Linked DNA regions of Saccharomyces cerevisiae S288C. The protein of the gene in region 1 purifies or fractionates together with the protein of each later gene. This does not show direct contact. Each region holds a gene or a part of one and is shown in the gene's direction. Other genes may lie near its edges.

Region 1 (5,262 bases):
TCAAGATATAAACCTGGGGTATAAAATAAATCAAATTGATAATAACGTTGTCGACGACAGTTCTTTGCTTGTAGTGGCAAGTGAAGACTACTATCCAAGATTAATTGACCTGAGAACCATGAATTCAGGGGTAACTGCGCTTGGAATGGGAAATCAAACACGAATGCAATCAGAAATTTTATGCTGCAAATTTAACCCCGTCAGGGAACAGATTATTGCTTGTGGTGACATGGAGGGTGGGGTAAAATTATGGGATCTAAGAATGAGGAACAGACTGTATTCAGAATTGAAAAGAAATAAAAATAGGTTCAAGACTATAAATAACGATGATAATGACGATCAAAGCGATGTCTATTTCAGCTCTAACCAATCAAAAGCCCATCTGAGATGTTGCAGTGACATTGTTTGGAATAGTGAGGGTTCAGAGCTATGTTCAGTCGGCATGGATGGAAAACTGAATGTTTGGAGGCCATTTACGGAAATTCTGCAACCAGAAGGTCTAGCTAGTTATTCCCAGTTGGGAACACAAGACCTGAGCCGTATCAAATACAAAAAAAGAGTATCTCGAAGGTTGCTTTGGTTTGACAAGTTTTTACTGTGTATTACTGACAATGGTGAAGTAGAAATATACAATACGGAGGAAAAAAAACTTTGGAACAAGCTCGAATACCCAATGGTTAATCAGGTAAAAAAAAATCAGGCTTCGCATTGTCAGTTTAGTTCCATGATTGTGCAAACAAATATAATGAATTCAGTTGGCCTCAAATTGTTCTTTGGAACTAACAACAACACCGTTAGCGACGGCGGATCCATCTTTGAATGTTCATAAGTAATAAATGCCGTATAGAATATGATAATAGTCTTCGCGGCTCTTATAATTGAACCAATGTAGGTTTGTATTACCCGGAAACGTATATCGCTACACACGAATATACAACTAATAGCTATATACAAATGCTTTCATCTCAGACTTGGCAGGTATATTTTACCAAGCCGCTTCACCTCTTATCCTCCACTTCATGCATACTTTTCAATAGAGAGCATTTCTTACCACCTCACCTTAGTTTCAGCTGTAGCCTCTTTTCTGACATAATATTGGTAAGTCGGGTTAACCAATTCCGGGCCGAAAGCTTTTTTTATTCACTCTATTTTTGTTTGCATTTAAACTCACAGTGGATATTGAAGGAAGGAATCAGCCCTGAGATTGTGTGACAAGCCTTTTGCAAGACAGAACAGGAGAACAAGAAGCCATAAAAGAAGAATAGACAAATATAAATACTTTTGTTTGAATACCCCTATCAGGTCTTTTAAGGAATAAAAAAGGAGAAAACAGGAGAATATACCATATAGGAGACGCGATTTCAAACGAAAGCTTGAGAAAGGGTTATCGCTGAAATTTAAATAGAAAGAGAAAATATCACAACTAGAGTTAGTATTCTTTTTATCGTTCATCAGCTCTATCAAGATATAATATTTGCTCATCTTTATCTCTCTTATTTTTTTAACACCACCTCCTGAAAGAGAACTAATTGGTATACTAGTTTTACGAGGGCTAGCTTTTGGCTGTTATACGTATAACCACACACCTGGTGTTCTGTACGAACGTTGAAAAGTCAAAGCAAGGGGGAAAAGATAATATCCTTGAAGATTATAAATCCTAAAGCAAGCATATTGACGAAGACGAGATAAGAAAAATCCAAAAATGTCAACAAATCTAGCAAATTACTTCGCCGGTAAGAAAGATATTGAAAACGAGCATGTAAATAGAAATGCGAGCCATGAAAGTAATAGCAAAAGTGATGTCAAAATTAGTGGTAACGATAACGACAACGACGAAGATATGGGGCCTTCAGTATCGATGGCTGTTCAAGCGAAAAATGATGATGATTTCCATAAATCAACTTTCAACCTTAAAAGAACAAGATCAATGGGCCTTCTTGATGAATATATTGACCCTACCAAGAAATTGCTAGGAAGGTCAGACGACTTATATGATAACGACAATGAATATTATGACAACTCATCTAATAATTCTTCAAGCAATTCTTCAGATGATGATTATGATGACGGCTATCAGGAACACTCAACCTCCGTTTCTCCACCGCCGGCGGATAATGATAGCTACTTAATTCCACAAGATGATAATGACGTAGTGGTAGAGCCAGAAAGACATGTTGACTATCTGTCACATGAATGGAAAGAATCAGAAATTTCTAATTCTTGGAAATATATCATCCTAAAGAAAAAGAAAAGAGATGTTGATCTAGTAAATGCTGCTAGGTTAGAAAATGCCTCATGGAGAACATGGGCAAAAGCAAGAAACAACTTGAAAACAGTGTCACCTGAAGTGGTTAATTGGTCAAAAGATTCTGATGTGACTTGGCTATATGGCCCTATTGTAAGAGATTCTGAAGGTAATGCCCAAAGTGAAGAAGAACATGATCTAGAAAGAGGATATGGTTCGGATGATGAAAATTCCAAGAGAATTTCAATGCCCACTAAAAATTCAAAGTCGATCGCAGCTGCTCCGAAACCAATTTTGAAGAAGAGAACCGTCACAGAAATTATAGAGGACAACGCTTTATGGAAACTGAATGAGGCAAGAAAACACATGACAGAAATGAAACATGCTTCGGTAATAATGGATCCCAATGGCAACAAAAACGTCCATGACGATTTCGATGCTCTGGCCGCTCAAGTTAACGCCCAGTACTACCATTATCCCAAAGAATCGAACAGTAGCGTTAGTTTGAAGAGTCAACACTCTGACAAAAAAGATAATTCTACCATACCGAATCCTGTAGGAGAAAATTCAAATGGTGGCGGTGACAAGGGAGAAGAAGACCTGCATTTAAAGTCAGCGCTTCATGTTCAAAACAATAGGTCAACGGCACAATCAAACAAAAGCATACTAGAAAATAGTACCAATGATCGTAAGGCTAACTTGGATCAAAACCTAAATTCTCCTGATAATAATAGGTTCCCCTCCTCAACATCTTCCTCCAATAGAGATAATGAAAACAATTCCATGGGATTATCATCAATATTAACCTCAAACCCAAGTGAAAAATCTAACAAACCTACTAAAAATAGACATATACATTTTAATGACAGGGTGGAACAATGTATGGCACTACGATATCCAGCTTCACAATCGGAGGATGATGAAAGCGATGATGAAAATAAACAATATGTTGATGTTAATAACAATGCGAACGTTACAACAATAAACAACAATAGGACTCCATTGCTAGCCATTCAGCATAAATCTATTCCTATCAACTCCGCAACTGAACATTTGAACAAAAATACTAGCGACGATGATACATCCTCACAATCATCATCTTCATCACATTCTGATGATGAAGAACACGGCGGCCTTTACATAAATGCAAGATTTTCCAGGAGGTCTGACTCTGGAGTTCATTCACCAATAACAGATAATTCCTCTGTGGCTTCATCTACTACTTCCAGAGCTCATGTACGTCCCATAATAAAGTTGCTTCCTGATACCACTTTGAATTATGGATCAGACGAAGAATCTGATAATGGCGAATTTAATGGGTATGGTAATGCTGTGTCACATAACGTCAATACCTCCAGAGGCTATGATTACATATACGATTATAACTCGGTCTACACTGGTGATACTTCCAGTTTTTTACCAGTAGATTCATGTGACATTGTAGATGTTCCTGAAGGAATGGACTTACAAACAGCCATTGCAGATGATAATGCATCAAACTATGAATTTAACAATGCGGTAGAATCCAAGGAAAAACATGTTCCACAACTACACAAAGCTTCAGCAAATAATACAACACGTCAACATGGATCGCATATGTTATTATATGACGACGACAATTACAGCTCTTCATCAGATAGCGAACAGCAATTTATTGAAGACTCACAATACAATAGTAGCGACGACGAAGAGGAAGAAGATGACGATGACCAAGAAGTAGACGATAACCACGATGAAGGACTTTCACTGAGGAGAACATTGTCACTTGGGAAATCAGGATCTACCAATTCTTTGTACGATCTAGCACAACCATCACTCTCTTCGGCAACTCCTCAACAAAAAAATCCTACTAATTTTACAGGGGGTAAAACTGATGTAGACAAAGATGCACAACTGGCTGTCAGGCCGTATCCGTTGAAGCGCAATTCCTCTTCAGGGAACTTCATATTCAATTCAGATAGTGAAGAAGAGAGTAGCAGCGAGGAGGAACAAAGACCATTACCCGCTAACAGTCAGCTGGTTAATCGAAGCGTATTGAAAGGCAGTGTGACACCAGCAAACATATCATCTCAGAAGAAAAAAGCCCTTCCAAAGCAGCCAAAAGCGTCCGATAGTTCACAAAGCTTTAGAATTGTAAATAATACTCCTTCACCAGCCGAAGTGGGGGCGAGTGATGTTGCCATAGAGGGTTATTTCTCTCCTAGAAATGAATCTATCAAGTCTGTTGTTTCCGGGGGAAATATGATGGACCATCAAGATCACTCAGAAATGGACACTTTGGCAAAAGGATTTGAAAACTGCCATATAAATAATGCTAGTAAGCTAAAGGACAAGAAAGTTGATAGCGTGCAAACCACTAGAAAAGAAGCGTCTTTGACGGATTCGAGTAATGAAAGCTTACACAAAGTGGTGCAGAATGCAAGAGGTATGGCAAGCAAGTACTTGCACTCTTGGAAAAAGAGTGACGTCAAGCCACAAGAAAATGGAAATGACAGCAGTTAGAAGAAAGAATTTTGAAGTCAACATGAAGAGAAAATAAAAATCCAGGTAGTGTGGATCAGTGCCGTCTTTAGGATCCAAGTAAGCTGTAATCGACTGGCATTGTCAAGGACAAATGTAGACAGCGAAGCAGTTATTTTACGTACACAATTAAATTCGCTCCAGATTTCAAAACTTCTTTATACCTTTACAATATTTGGTACTTATGTACAAGAACTTCTTGAGCTTCCATAGTCGTATGTGTGTTCTATATATTAGCAATTAAACGCAGCTGATCTAAGATATGTTCGTGGGTAATGATTTTCAGATAGAGTACAATCAATGTTTTCTTCGATCTTTAAAGGGTTTTTCCTTTATAAAGAAGACACCACACAACAGTCTAGAAAGTAAACAAAACAAACTACGACACGGCTTGTTTTAGGCACAACTTTGTTTTAGGCAGAGCTTACAGTAATTGGCAGTATTGATATCCTAAAGCAGTATTAAAACAATTTAAAGGTTTGGTGAGGTATCTGGCC
Region 2 (5,844 bases), on another chromosome or scaffold:
AAAAAAGGAAGCAAAAGCAACGAGAAAGAAATGCAAGGATGAACGTTATCGGTGGTGAAGATTTTGGTATATTCAGCTCAAAGAGGAAGCTGGAAGATAGCACTTCGAGACGTGGGGCCAAGAAGACTCGTTCTGCCTGGGATAGAGCTCAAAGGAGACTGTAGATACAAAAAGTTTATTTTCTTATATCCTAAAGCGTTTATAGACTTAATATTTAAAAGTTAAATATAAATGAAGGGCACTGGTATATAAGCTATTAAAAACAAGAATTTTGGCTTTCACGACATTAACGTGTGAGAGGTTTAGGCACCATTGCCTTTATGATTATTAGTCCCTCCAGAATAAACTCTACCTTTTTTTTTCTTTTTTTTTTTTATAGTCCTAAGCAGAACATGACTAAATCGCCATAAATTAACAATATAGTGGGAATAAGGCACACCAGAAGTGCCACGATATAGTATATATACAATGATAAATGAGTACGTTGCCAGAAAGGTCGCTCTAAAGGACATGCAACCATGTGCGATCTGTAGCAAACCATCCACTACCGTCCTTTACAACGCATCTGGTCCAGATTGGCTATATACATGCGAAATACATTTACAAGATAATCCACAATTTGTCATTCCCCTCTATAGTACAGAGTATAATGAAGCCGTGGCTCAATTAAAACTAGTAAAGGGGAAAATGGATAGTCTGACATCAGCTCAAACCCAATTAGGGTCCTGGGATGGTTGGGTTACTAAAATATTCTCCAAGAAAGAAAAGGAGACAAATAACTCTAAAGACCCTGATCCAACTACAACCGACTCTACTGATACATCTCCACAGGCTAAGAACGATGCAGAAATCTTGTCAGAAACAAAGAAACAGTACAGCAAAATACTTGACAAAGTTACAGAACTGCAAAGGAAAAACAGAAAATACGAACTAGCAAAAATCATGTTTGAAAGCAGACTCCTAAGAAAAAGAACAGAACAAGTAAATCGCGAACGATACCTCAAGGAGCAAGAGAATTACTCTAATACGGATCCTGAAGAACTGCTTCGAAAACACGTGTTCCCCTCCGTTCCAAAATAAGGACGCAACGGTTGGACCGTTCCTCTTCCTATGGCCTAATACCCATGAACTATTGATTATATAGTATATAAAACTCACCATGGATTATCTATTCATGGTTCGTAACCAAAAGCTAAATGCTCATCACATTCTAAAGATCACAAAATAAAATCAACACGTATCAAGCGACTAAATTGTAGCTAATTTTTTTCTTTCTTTCCAGGGAAGGCAGAAAGTGTGAGTGATGTTTGTATTTCTGACAAGCTGTTGAGAGCAGGCAAATGGTGCTTCATCAAGTTAAATAATCATCGTTGAACGACTTCAAATTAACAGCGGCTTGTTCCTTCGTTCCCTTCATATTCATCACTGAGCGTAGAAAGCTAACGTATTACTCTTTTTTTTGGAAAGGGAGTCAATTGACGCTTAAAGACTAGTCATTTTGTTTAGAAAAAGTCTTATATTTATTTCTGCAGGTGGCAACATACTAGCATATGGAAAAAGTTTAGGTAACGAATTTTGATCAAACTAAATCTCACTTCTGAACTGACTACATATTCTTTATTTAAGGAGTTGACATTTTTCATTTATCCAGTCACAATTTTAAAAGCACTTCGTTAACACGTTTGGTTGTCCTTATTTTTGCATTGTGATTATATCAGGCGGCATTAAGTGAAGTATACCTTGTGACCTGAAGATTTACTTTGGAAAGTAATTGATGTTTTAAGACAGTACCGGTTTCCTTTTTTTTTATTTGGATTTTTTGTCAGTAAGAATTTGTAATTATAGATTAAGATAAAACGAAAAGAAGCATATTAATAAGGAGTTTTGAACATGGATAGGAGTGATAAAAAAGTTAACGTCGAAGAGGTCAATGTACCTTCAAACTTACAAATAGAATTAGAAAAATCAGGCACCAGTAGCAGTGTATCACTCCGAAGCCCGACTAAGAGTAGCGCTACCAATTTGGCGGGCATGGCCGAAGGTGCAAGAGATAATGCATCAATAGCGTCTTCATCGGTAGATTCCCTCAACATGCTATTAGAGCGGCAAAGAGTAAGGCAGTTAAACCATCCACAGCACCAACAGCATATAAGTAGTTCACTAGCTAAGACCCCGACAACGACTTCATCATTTTGTTCGAGCGGGAGTTCTAAGAATAAAGTTAAGGAAACTAATCGAATATCTCTAACATACGACCCGGTGTCAAAGAGGAAAGTTTTAAACACTTATGAGATCATCAAAGAATTAGGCCATGGACAACATGGAAAAGTAAAATTAGCAAGAGATATATTGAGTAAGCAATTAGTAGCGATTAAAATAGTGGATAGACATGAAAAGAAACAGAGGAAGTTTTTCACGTTTATCAAATCAAGTAAAATATCCGAAAATGATAAAATAAAACGAGAAATTGCCATTATGAAAAAATGCCATCACAAACATGTCGTACAACTGATAGAAGTTCTGGATGATTTAAAATCAAGAAAAATTTATTTAGTTCTAGAGTATTGTTCTCGAGGCGAGGTAAAATGGTGTCCACCGGATTGTATGGAATCAGATGCTAAGGGTCCCTCTTTACTAAGTTTTCAAGAAACGCGAGAGATTTTAAGAGGCGTTGTGCTCGGCTTAGAATATCTCCATTACCAAGGAATCATTCACCGAGATATTAAGCCTGCCAACTTATTAATATCAGGAGATGGCACTGTTAAGATTTCCGATTTTGGTGTTTCTTTAGCTGCTAGCAGCACGAATAGTTCCGATAGTAGCGAATCCTTAGACGAGTTAGAATTAGCCAAAACAGTGGGCACGCCTGCATTTTTTGCTCCCGAAATGTGCTTGGGTGAAGATGCATTCACCAGGTATAACTTAACAAAGGAAAATTTATTTCGTGGTTCTTGCATCTCATTCATGATAGATATTTGGGCTGTGGGTGTGACCTTGTACTGTCTTCTTTTTGGAATGCTGCCTTTTTTTTCTGATTTTGAGCTCAAATTATTTGAAAAAATTGTAAACGACCCGTTAAAATTTCCAACATTTAAAGAAATACAGTCCAACAAAGTATCTAAAGTATCTTGTGAGGAGGAATACGAAATGGCAAAGGACCTTTTATTGAAATTGTTAGAAAAAAATCCCCAAAAAAGAATGACTATACCTGCCATTAAAAAACATCCTTTTGTTTCATGGGATTTTGACCACGTACCGGAGAACGATGAAAAGTTACTATCTTCTGTCCTTGAGCAAAAATTACGTTTCCAATGTAACCAAACTGATCAATTTGAACCCATTTCTATTTCAAAGCACGAATTGAAAAACGCTGTCTCCGGTGTCGGGAAAAAAATCAAAGAGTCCGTACTAAAAAGTATCCCGCTAAAGGATCCGTCAGATCTCTCTAATAAAAACTACCTTCATCCAACGGAAACCACTAGGGGCAGAGGGGATGCCAATGTTATTGTCAGCGAAGGTTCAGTGTTATCGAATATTAAGGAATTAAGTGCTAATGATGGATGTTTGAACACTGATAGCGACACTAATATTAATATCAACGACGATGATCATTATAGTGGTGATGATAACGATGGACATTTAACGAAAAGAGAACTAGAACGAGAATTAAACAAATTCGATGATAAACACGAGGCCGGAAATATGGTTAATTTACCTATCAATTCCTCATTTGCATCCTTGGACAGCTTCTACATAGATAATTTTGCGATGGCTAGAATGGGAATGAGTTCTCCAGAAGCGGGAGATTCGGTTTCGTCTGTACCAAACCTTCCTTCTGCACCGTCTTCAACAAGGCTTGGACGATCACCAGTCTTTAGTGGAGTCACCAACCAACCAAGTCCAATTCGCCCCGTTTTGCCACAACAAAAGTCATCGTTTTGTGCAACAGGTCGGTATGATAAGAGTCACAATAGTCTTCTTAGAAATTCTTCATCTCATCTAACGTCATACAACTCCGGCAGACCATCTTCAAGGACTGGCCGAATGAATTCACGCAACCAAAACTTACCGAAAATACCAAATAGCCTTTCAAAAATCTCAACAACGAAATTGACTGAACTAAGAGTTCCAAAGGATTCAGAAATTCCATCACCTGCAAAAAACCCTAACGCTGATCGTTTGAGAAGGTTTCCCGTAAAGAAAAATACCAAAACACCCGCCATAAAAGATCCTCCGAGAATAAACATTAATAGCAGCGATAAGTCAGGCTCCAAAAATTCTCCTATAAAATCCTTATACCAACGGATGAAACAGTCTAAGGATAATTCAAAAACCTTCGAGGTACGTAGAGGAAACTTTTTCAGTCATTTTAATGGAGATGATGATGATAGCAGTAGCCAGTCGTCCGTAACCAGTTCTGGTTCAGAATCTGATTCTGAATTATCATCCACTTCATCGTCCTGTACATCTGGAACCCAATCTCGGAATAGCTCCAACAATAATGCATATTCAGAAACGGAGTCATTACCTTTCGAGTTTGGTGTTGATTCAGAAGATGGAAGTGGAGTATTATTAAGAGATTTACCTAACGAAGATCAAATAAGGCCGTTTCTGGATATACAACCATGTCGACGCATGAAAGTTAAAAGTTCATTGAACCTCGAACCACCTTCTGTCTCATCTTCTTCATCTTCATCCTCCGACGAAGATGAGCTAATTTTAAATGTCGGGACTGCAGGTCATCGAAGAAGGCATAATTCTTCAAAACTTAGTGAACTATCCAATAGTCCGCAGAAGGGATCAAATAATTTCATGTATTCCAATGGAAGTGTTCATGACAGTGAGACGACGATAACGCCGCAAAATATGGATGACTTGACGCTGCATCAGGCACTGAGCCGCAGCCAACCCATTAGTAAGCCTGGCCCATTAGTATTACCAAAGCGTTTAGACCAAAAGAAAGCTACGACGGAAACCTCAAATTTAACAGATATCGTTGAATTTAACGGTAATAACGATCATCGAAAGGACAAAAATTTCGATAAAGTTCTTTATTCAAGGGACTTGTTAAAAGATGCTCTAAGTTCCACTAATGCAGGCAGAAGGAGATCCATACCTTCAAATAAAATAAGAGGACGAAAGGACGCAAGTATTACCATGAGTACTAATGTTGGTAATGATGAACATGCTAGAAATACCAGCTGCCATGGTGATAAAGGACAAGAAAATGGCGCTATAAAACAAAGGACCCATGAAAGATCGCGATCTTTAACAGTCGCTGAACTAAATGAAGAGAAGAGAAGGAGTGCACTTCCATGAGTGTAAAATTCAAAGTAATTTCCATCGGACTACGATGTTAATCAGATATATGGTAGAAAGCTCTAACTTTTTACCCTTGCCAACATGCACGCATATATGTGTATGTTAAAATAAGTTCTGTATTTGAAATGCATGTGATTTACAATCCTCTTGCAATGAACTTAATATCATTAACAGGCTAAAAATAATATATGATGTAGATCTTTTTAGTTTAGCATAATATAATCTATAAATCTATAATATTTTTATTCTAAATTATTAAAAGGGCGGCGAGAGAAGTGTATCTGTGCTTAGAAAACTTTTCGTTTCTTCGTCTCACCCTGAGAAGTGCCTTTTCGTTTCAAAATCATTACTGGTGAGTGTCATTAAACTTTTTCAATTTGCAATTTCCGTATCTTTAAAATTTCATAAGGAAGCGTGAGTTTTAACGTGCTGATTCAAATTATCGCTTCTGCTGAAGTTCTTATTACAGATATGGCATGTAAATGGTTTTTCGCACATATGTAAAGATCTGACATGCCTCTT
Region 3 (3,170 bases), 150 kb from region 1:
CTCCTTCTATTTTACATGCTTCATTATCCTATTACATTATCTAGCTATGCAATTCAGCTCTCATTAAGTCTAATGACTGTTTTTCAATTGTTGTATAATCTTCTTATACCTCATTTGATAATATAGCAATAATATAAAATAGTACTCTATAGGTTATAGGAGTCTTAATACAATGAGCGCGCCATTATCGTTCTGTAAAGTAAATAGTCATTCACATAACGAGCTAATAAAAATCTCCAGATGGCACACATAGTGTATGGCAACATCAATGAGAAGAATAAGGTCTTCGAGGAATAAATTGTTCTAATCATGACAAAAACTACATAACAGAAGACTGAAAGACTGCATTAAAAAAATATTATTAGCATGAACACTAGTCAAAAAATGACACTAAGATTTCATTCCAACACTACATTTTTTCGGAAAACGTTTTATTGAAGTACTGCTTTATGGTCAGCACGTATCGCTTCATATATGATAACCTTACACAGTATCTTTCCGAAAAATCATGAAACGAAGTAACACAGCATCAATTTCTGTGAGAAATAGACAAAGATGTTTCAAAAGTTCCAACATATAGTGAGCATCGTTCATATACCTCGTACAAATCAAATTTGTCTCTTGGAATACCGAAAATTAGCCGCTCAAACACTCTCCGTTGTTAATGACAATTACACCATAGCCGCTGCCGTAGAAAATGCACGGTCTTCCGTGACGAGAAGATTCGGGGGCGAATCGCATAGATCGCTCTTTCTCCTCTTTCTCAATTCTGTCTTATCTGTATTTATAACATGAGCTCATAAACAAAGTCCCTGTTTATATATATTGATGACTTATATATCTTTCGCTTCAGCTTCTTCCCTCATTTCTACTTAATATTATCTTTTGAAATTAGCGCGATCAATTGCATTCTTTTCCACACCACCTTCAAATTTAAGAATTCATATTTGAATCGAACCGTATGTTTTACCTCTCAATAACTTGTTTCATTAATAGCTCCTTCCACAACCACCTTCATCTTCTCTGATTTGAATTATTACCGACATGAATGTTACTCTCCTGAAAATGTTAATTATATCAACTTAACAGGCCTTGAAAGTGAAGTGTTATAGTTTCTCTTCCTTTGTTTTTCCCACTTTCTTTTTTTTATATATATCTTATATTGGTTTAAGCACAGCGGATTGCTTTCTTCTAATACAAGAACTAGAACATAGGTCCACCCGTGTGATGTTGCATTCTGAAATGTTTAGTTATCTCTGTCAGAACAGCGAGGTAACACTTATTTTTGTTACGACCAATCCGTAATTCAAGCGTGGGTATTCATATGACCAGAGATAATAATACAGCGAATACTATTGAAATCGTCCCTTTTTTGTTTAGGAAGAACGGACAAATCGGTCGTCTGCTCGAAATGATTAGTAGTGTGTCACCCGGATCAGCAAAATGACACACACGAAATACGAGGAAAAAGTCGGTCGAAAGGGGCAAATGTTATTATAAGTCCCTCCAGTAGTCTTTTTTTTTTCAAATATTCATCATCAAAGGTTACGAAATCTTTTGAGCTATCTTAAACATTCGTTCTTTTTATCAAATTTCAATTACTAACTTATTTTTTCAAAAAAAATTGCCTCTCCCGGTTTTTAATCATTATTTTTTTCGATTGATTAAGGGGGAAAAGCAAAGAACGAGAAAACTTGGACAGAAGGTTAATACTCTGACAATTTCAAAACGAAGTAAAAAGAAAAATTATCAAATCAACAAAAAGTACCCGTTACAACAAAAAAAATGTCCCAAACTCGTGAAGATTCTGTTTACCTAGCTAAATTAGCTGAACAAGCCGAACGTTATGAAGAAATGGTCGAAAACATGAAGGCCGTTGCTTCATCAGGTCAAGAGTTATCTGTCGAAGAACGGAATCTATTGTCGGTTGCTTACAAGAACGTCATCGGTGCTCGCCGTGCTTCATGGAGAATAGTTTCTTCGATCGAACAAAAAGAAGAATCAAAGGAGAAATCTGAACATCAAGTTGAATTAATCCGTTCTTACCGTTCTAAAATTGAAACTGAATTGACCAAAATCTCTGACGACATTTTATCTGTGTTAGATTCTCATTTAATCCCTTCTGCTACTACTGGTGAGTCTAAAGTATTTTACTATAAGATGAAGGGTGACTACCACCGTTATTTAGCTGAATTTTCCAGCGGAGATGCAAGAGAAAAGGCAACCAACTCCTCTTTGGAGGCTTATAAAACCGCTTCCGAAATCGCCACAACTGAATTGCCTCCAACTCACCCAATTCGTTTAGGTCTAGCTTTGAATTTCTCCGTCTTCTATTACGAAATTCAAAACTCTCCTGATAAGGCTTGCCACTTGGCCAAACAAGCCTTTGATGATGCTATTGCTGAGTTAGATACTTTATCTGAAGAATCATACAAGGATAGCACTTTGATCATGCAATTATTAAGGGACAACTTGACCTTATGGACCTCTGATATTTCTGAATCTGGTCAAGAAGATCAACAACAACAACAACAACAGCAACAGCAACAGCAACAACAGCAACAACAAGCTCCAGCTGAACAAACTCAAGGTGAACCAACCAAATAAGAGCGCTGAGAAATACAAGGGGAAATGAAGATTTACCACTCCAGTTTTCTTGCTAACGAAAATGAATGCAATTCGATTTTGATACTTTTTTTAGGGGAAGAGATAATATCTTCGTCTAATACAAATTCACAAAATTTTCAATTTTACCAACTACAAAATATACAAACCTCTAAAAAAATAGTTTCTTAATATATAACATAAAATAGTTTTTCTGTTACTATTACTTCTATCACTGTTTTCTTCGTGTATTCTTATATTTTGGCTATCGTTCAGAGTTGAGACAATTTGCGAGAGTAATTGAGTAGTAATTTTCGTATGTTTTAAAATAAGTTCCTTCCATTGTATACGCACCTCTTTCTTCTGTTTTCCTTTGAATCTTGATCTACCTTACCTATTGAAGGTGAAGGCATCTTTTCTCATTTGATGAAACAGCGCTCCCTGGGTGTAGGGGGGCGGGGGTATAGTAGCGTAAATCCGCAACGGAAAAATACTTCGAGTGGAAAACTATGACCATTAATATGTATGTCTTACAAGAGAGGACAATAAACAAAGTCAAATAACCA
Region 4 (3,115 bases), on another chromosome or scaffold:
CTTGAGACAAAAAAGCTATATCATGAAGAAAAGAACACATTATAGTTATCAGCAGGAACAAAAAATTCCTGATTTAATTAAATTAAGGAAAATCAATACCAATCCGGAAAGAATTCTTGATGCACCTGGTTTCCAAGACGACTTTTATTTAAACTTGTTAAGTTGGTCCAAAAAAAATGTCTTAGCTATAGCACTAGACACTGCATTATATCTGTGGAATGCCACCACTGGGGATGTTTCCCTGTTAACGGATTTCGAAAACACCACAATATGCAGCGTTACGTGGTCTGATGATGATTGTCATATCTCTATCGGTAAAGAGGATGGGAACACCGAAATTTGGGACGTTGAGACCATGTCATTAATTAGAACTATGAGATCAGGCTTAGGTGTCCGTATCGGTTCATTGTCTTGGTTAGATACTTTGATAGCTACAGGCAGTCGTAGTGGAGAAATTCAAATCAATGATGTCAGGATCAAACAGCATATTGTATCTACATGGGCAGAGCACACAGGCGAAGTCTGCGGTTTGAGCTATAAAAGTGACGGATTGCAACTTGCATCTGGTGGTAATGATAACACTGTAATGATTTGGGATACCAGAACGTCCTTGCCTCAATTTTCCAAGAAGACGCATACTGCTGCTGTAAAAGCACTAAGCTGGTGTCCATATTCGCCAAATATTCTAGCCTCTGGAGGCGGACAAACAGATAAACACATCCATTTTTGGAACAGTATCACAGGTGCACGAGTTGGCTCAATCAATACCGGATCCCAGGTGAGCTCTTTACATTGGGGCCAAAGTCATACGTCAACCAATGGTGGTATGATGAATAAAGAGATTGTTGCCACAGGAGGTAATCCAGAGAATGCAATCTCTGTTTATAATTATGAAACAAAATTCAAAGTTGCAGAAGTAGTTCATGCTCATGAAGCAAGAATATGCTGTTCTCAATTGTCCCCTGACGGAACCACATTGGCCACAGTGGGAGGAGATGAAAACTTAAAATTTTATAAGATATTTGATCCAAGATGTACAGGAAGATCGAGAGAAGACGGATTGATGGATGGTATGCTAGGACTTATTGGCAAGGAAGGTTGTCGAACAAATGATAAGGAGAATCGTTCCAAAAATTCGAGTGAGATTCATACAAGGAGGCCCTCTAGTACCAGCCAATATTTGATCAGGTGATAAAATAAAAAAAATAAAAGTTCATGTCAAGGCATATAATGAAATTTCCATACACGCATACATAATGTATAAACATAAATGTATTCAAGAAGCTTAAGAAATAAAAGTAATGAACCTTGAGAATACATCAAGATATAACTCATCACATGTTAAAGAACCCACACACCACACGCGCGAGAACTGGGAGGGAGAGAAATTTAGCAAATAACAAAATTTAGGCCTTGGAAGAAACCATAGCAATGCAATAATCGTTATTAACATAATATCTACATTGAGAACTTCTTGGGCTAGTGGTTTTGCTGCAAACTGGAAAATTGTATCAATCTTTTAACGTTAGCTAAACATCTTCTGCTGTGTTAGCATTAGGAGGAAGCGAAAAGGAAAATACATAATGAAACCGACACAGGATTCACAAGAAAAGGTTTCTATTGAACAGCAGTTAGCTGTAGAATCGATAAGGAAGTTTTTGAACTCGAAAACATCTTATGACGTGTTGCCTGTTTCTTACCGTTTAATTGTCTTGGACACCTCGTTGTTAGTGAAGAAATCACTGAATGTTCTTTTGCAAAATAGCATTGTCTCTGCGCCATTATGGGACTCCAAGACTTCCAGGTTCGCTGGACTTCTAACTACTACAGATTTTATTAATGTCATCCAGTATTACTTCTCCAATCCAGATAAGTTCGAATTAGTAGACAAATTACAGTTAGATGGATTAAAAGATATAGAGCGTGCTCTCGGTGTTGATCAACTAGATACAGCTTCAATTCATCCTTCTAGACCCTTATTTGAGGCGTGTCTTAAGATGTTAGAATCAAGAAGTGGTAGAATACCACTGATCGATCAAGATGAAGAGACACATAGAGAAATTGTCGTTAGTGTTCTTACGCAATATAGAATTCTGAAGTTCGTTGCTTTAAATTGCAGGGAAACACATTTTCTAAAGATTCCAATTGGGGACTTGAACATTATTACGCAAGATAACATGAAAAGCTGTCAAATGACCACTCCGGTCATAGACGTCATTCAGATGCTTACCCAAGGTCGGGTTTCTTCCGTCCCTATTATTGACGAAAACGGCTACTTAATCAACGTATATGAAGCATACGATGTCCTAGGCTTGATAAAAGGAGGCATCTACAACGACCTGTCATTGAGCGTCGGAGAAGCCCTTATGAGGAGAAGTGATGATTTTGAGGGTGTTTATACATGCACTAAGAATGATAAATTATCTACTATTATGGATAACATCAGAAAAGCAAGGGTGCATAGATTCTTTGTAGTTGATGACGTCGGACGGTTGGTTGGTGTCTTGACGTTAAGCGATATTCTCAAATATATCCTTCTAGGTAGCAACTGAAACGAGCCGATGAGATTTTTGTGTACATACTATAAATAAATGCAACTAATAAAGTCATGATTAATCAGTCATGCATACTTCATCTGACCAATATATTTTCATCTTGCTTATTTTGGGTATAATTCGGCGGAAATTCGGTTATAAAGCGAAGTGAAAAATCGATTAGTAATGATACTGATGCGATCTCTGGGAGGGGGGAATGCTGCATATAAGGGTGAAGGAAGATAATGCAAAGCCTTTTGTAGTATTGTCTGTTGATACCAAAATAAATTAGTTCATCAAAAAGGTACAGGCAGCTAAAGAAAAGCTGTAAATTTAACGCCGTAGAAGGTATTTTTCGTGAGATCTATCTCAAGGCATCATTTTTTTTATTTTCGCACCAAGATAGGAAGAAAAAGAGTCACAGTATAGAGGACTAACCGTTAAAGATTCTAAATCGGTACTGTAAATACTTTGAAATGCCTCAATCTACTCCAAGTCAAGAAGTACAGCGTGTACCATGGGATAATAAACCTGCTTTGAAGCAGATAACACTCCGAGCAACCATAGCAGGTATCGCTATA

Evidence for each region.
Region 2: the proteins of REG1 (region 1) and SAK1 purify together in Saccharomyces cerevisiae (affinity purification with western blotting; 2 studies listed by BioGRID, with this or other methods). This does not show direct contact.
Region 3: the proteins of REG1 (region 1) and BMH2 purify together in Saccharomyces cerevisiae (affinity purification with western blotting; 5 studies listed by BioGRID, with this or other methods). This does not show direct contact.
Region 4: the proteins of REG1 (region 1) and SNF4 purify together in Saccharomyces cerevisiae (affinity purification with mass spectrometry; 3 studies listed by BioGRID). This does not show direct contact.

The regions. Positions count from the first base shown.
Region 1 is NC_001136.10:497,320-502,581, reverse strand, and holds REG1 (protein phosphatase regulator REG1), read left to right. Parts: upstream 1-1,702; coding exon 1,703-4,747; downstream 4,748-5,262. Other genes in the region: RAD28 (Rad28p), read left to right, coding at 1-829; YDR029W (uncharacterized protein), read right to left, coding at 1,168-1,482. UniProt on the Saccharomyces cerevisiae protein: Involved in RNA processing and negative regulation of glucose repression. Regulates the level of two antigens, P43 and P70. Binds to protein phosphatase type 1. Functions with REG2 and SNF1 protein kinase to regulate growth.
Region 2 is NC_001137.3:415,391-421,234, forward strand, and holds SAK1 (serine/threonine protein kinase SAK1), read left to right. Parts: upstream 1-1,890; coding exon 1,891-5,319; downstream 5,320-5,844. Other genes in the region: small subunit rRNA maturation protein LCP5, read left to right, coding at 1-164; VFA1 (Vfa1p), read left to right, coding at 469-1,080; COM2 (Com2p), read right to left, coding at 5,725-5,844. UniProt on the Saccharomyces cerevisiae protein: Serine/threonine-protein kinase that phosphorylates SNF1, the catalytic subunit of the SNF1 kinase complex. Acts as an activator of the SNF1 kinase complex and controls its nuclear localization upon glucose and nitrogen depletion.
Region 3 is NC_001136.10:651,822-654,991, forward strand, and holds BMH2 (14-3-3 family protein BMH2), read left to right. Parts: upstream 1-1,785; coding exon 1,786-2,607; downstream 2,608-3,170.
Region 4 is NC_001139.9:290,450-293,564, forward strand, and holds SNF4 (AMP-activated serine/threonine-protein kinase regulatory subunit SNF4), read left to right. Parts: upstream 1-1,583; coding exon 1,584-2,552; downstream 2,553-3,115. Other genes in the region: ubiquitin-protein transferase activating protein CDC20, read left to right, coding at 1-1,192; YGL114W (uncharacterized protein), read left to right, coding at 3,011-3,115. UniProt on the Saccharomyces cerevisiae protein: Adenine nucleotides-binding subunit gamma of AMP-activated protein kinase (AMPK), an energy sensor protein kinase that plays a key role in regulating cellular energy metabolism.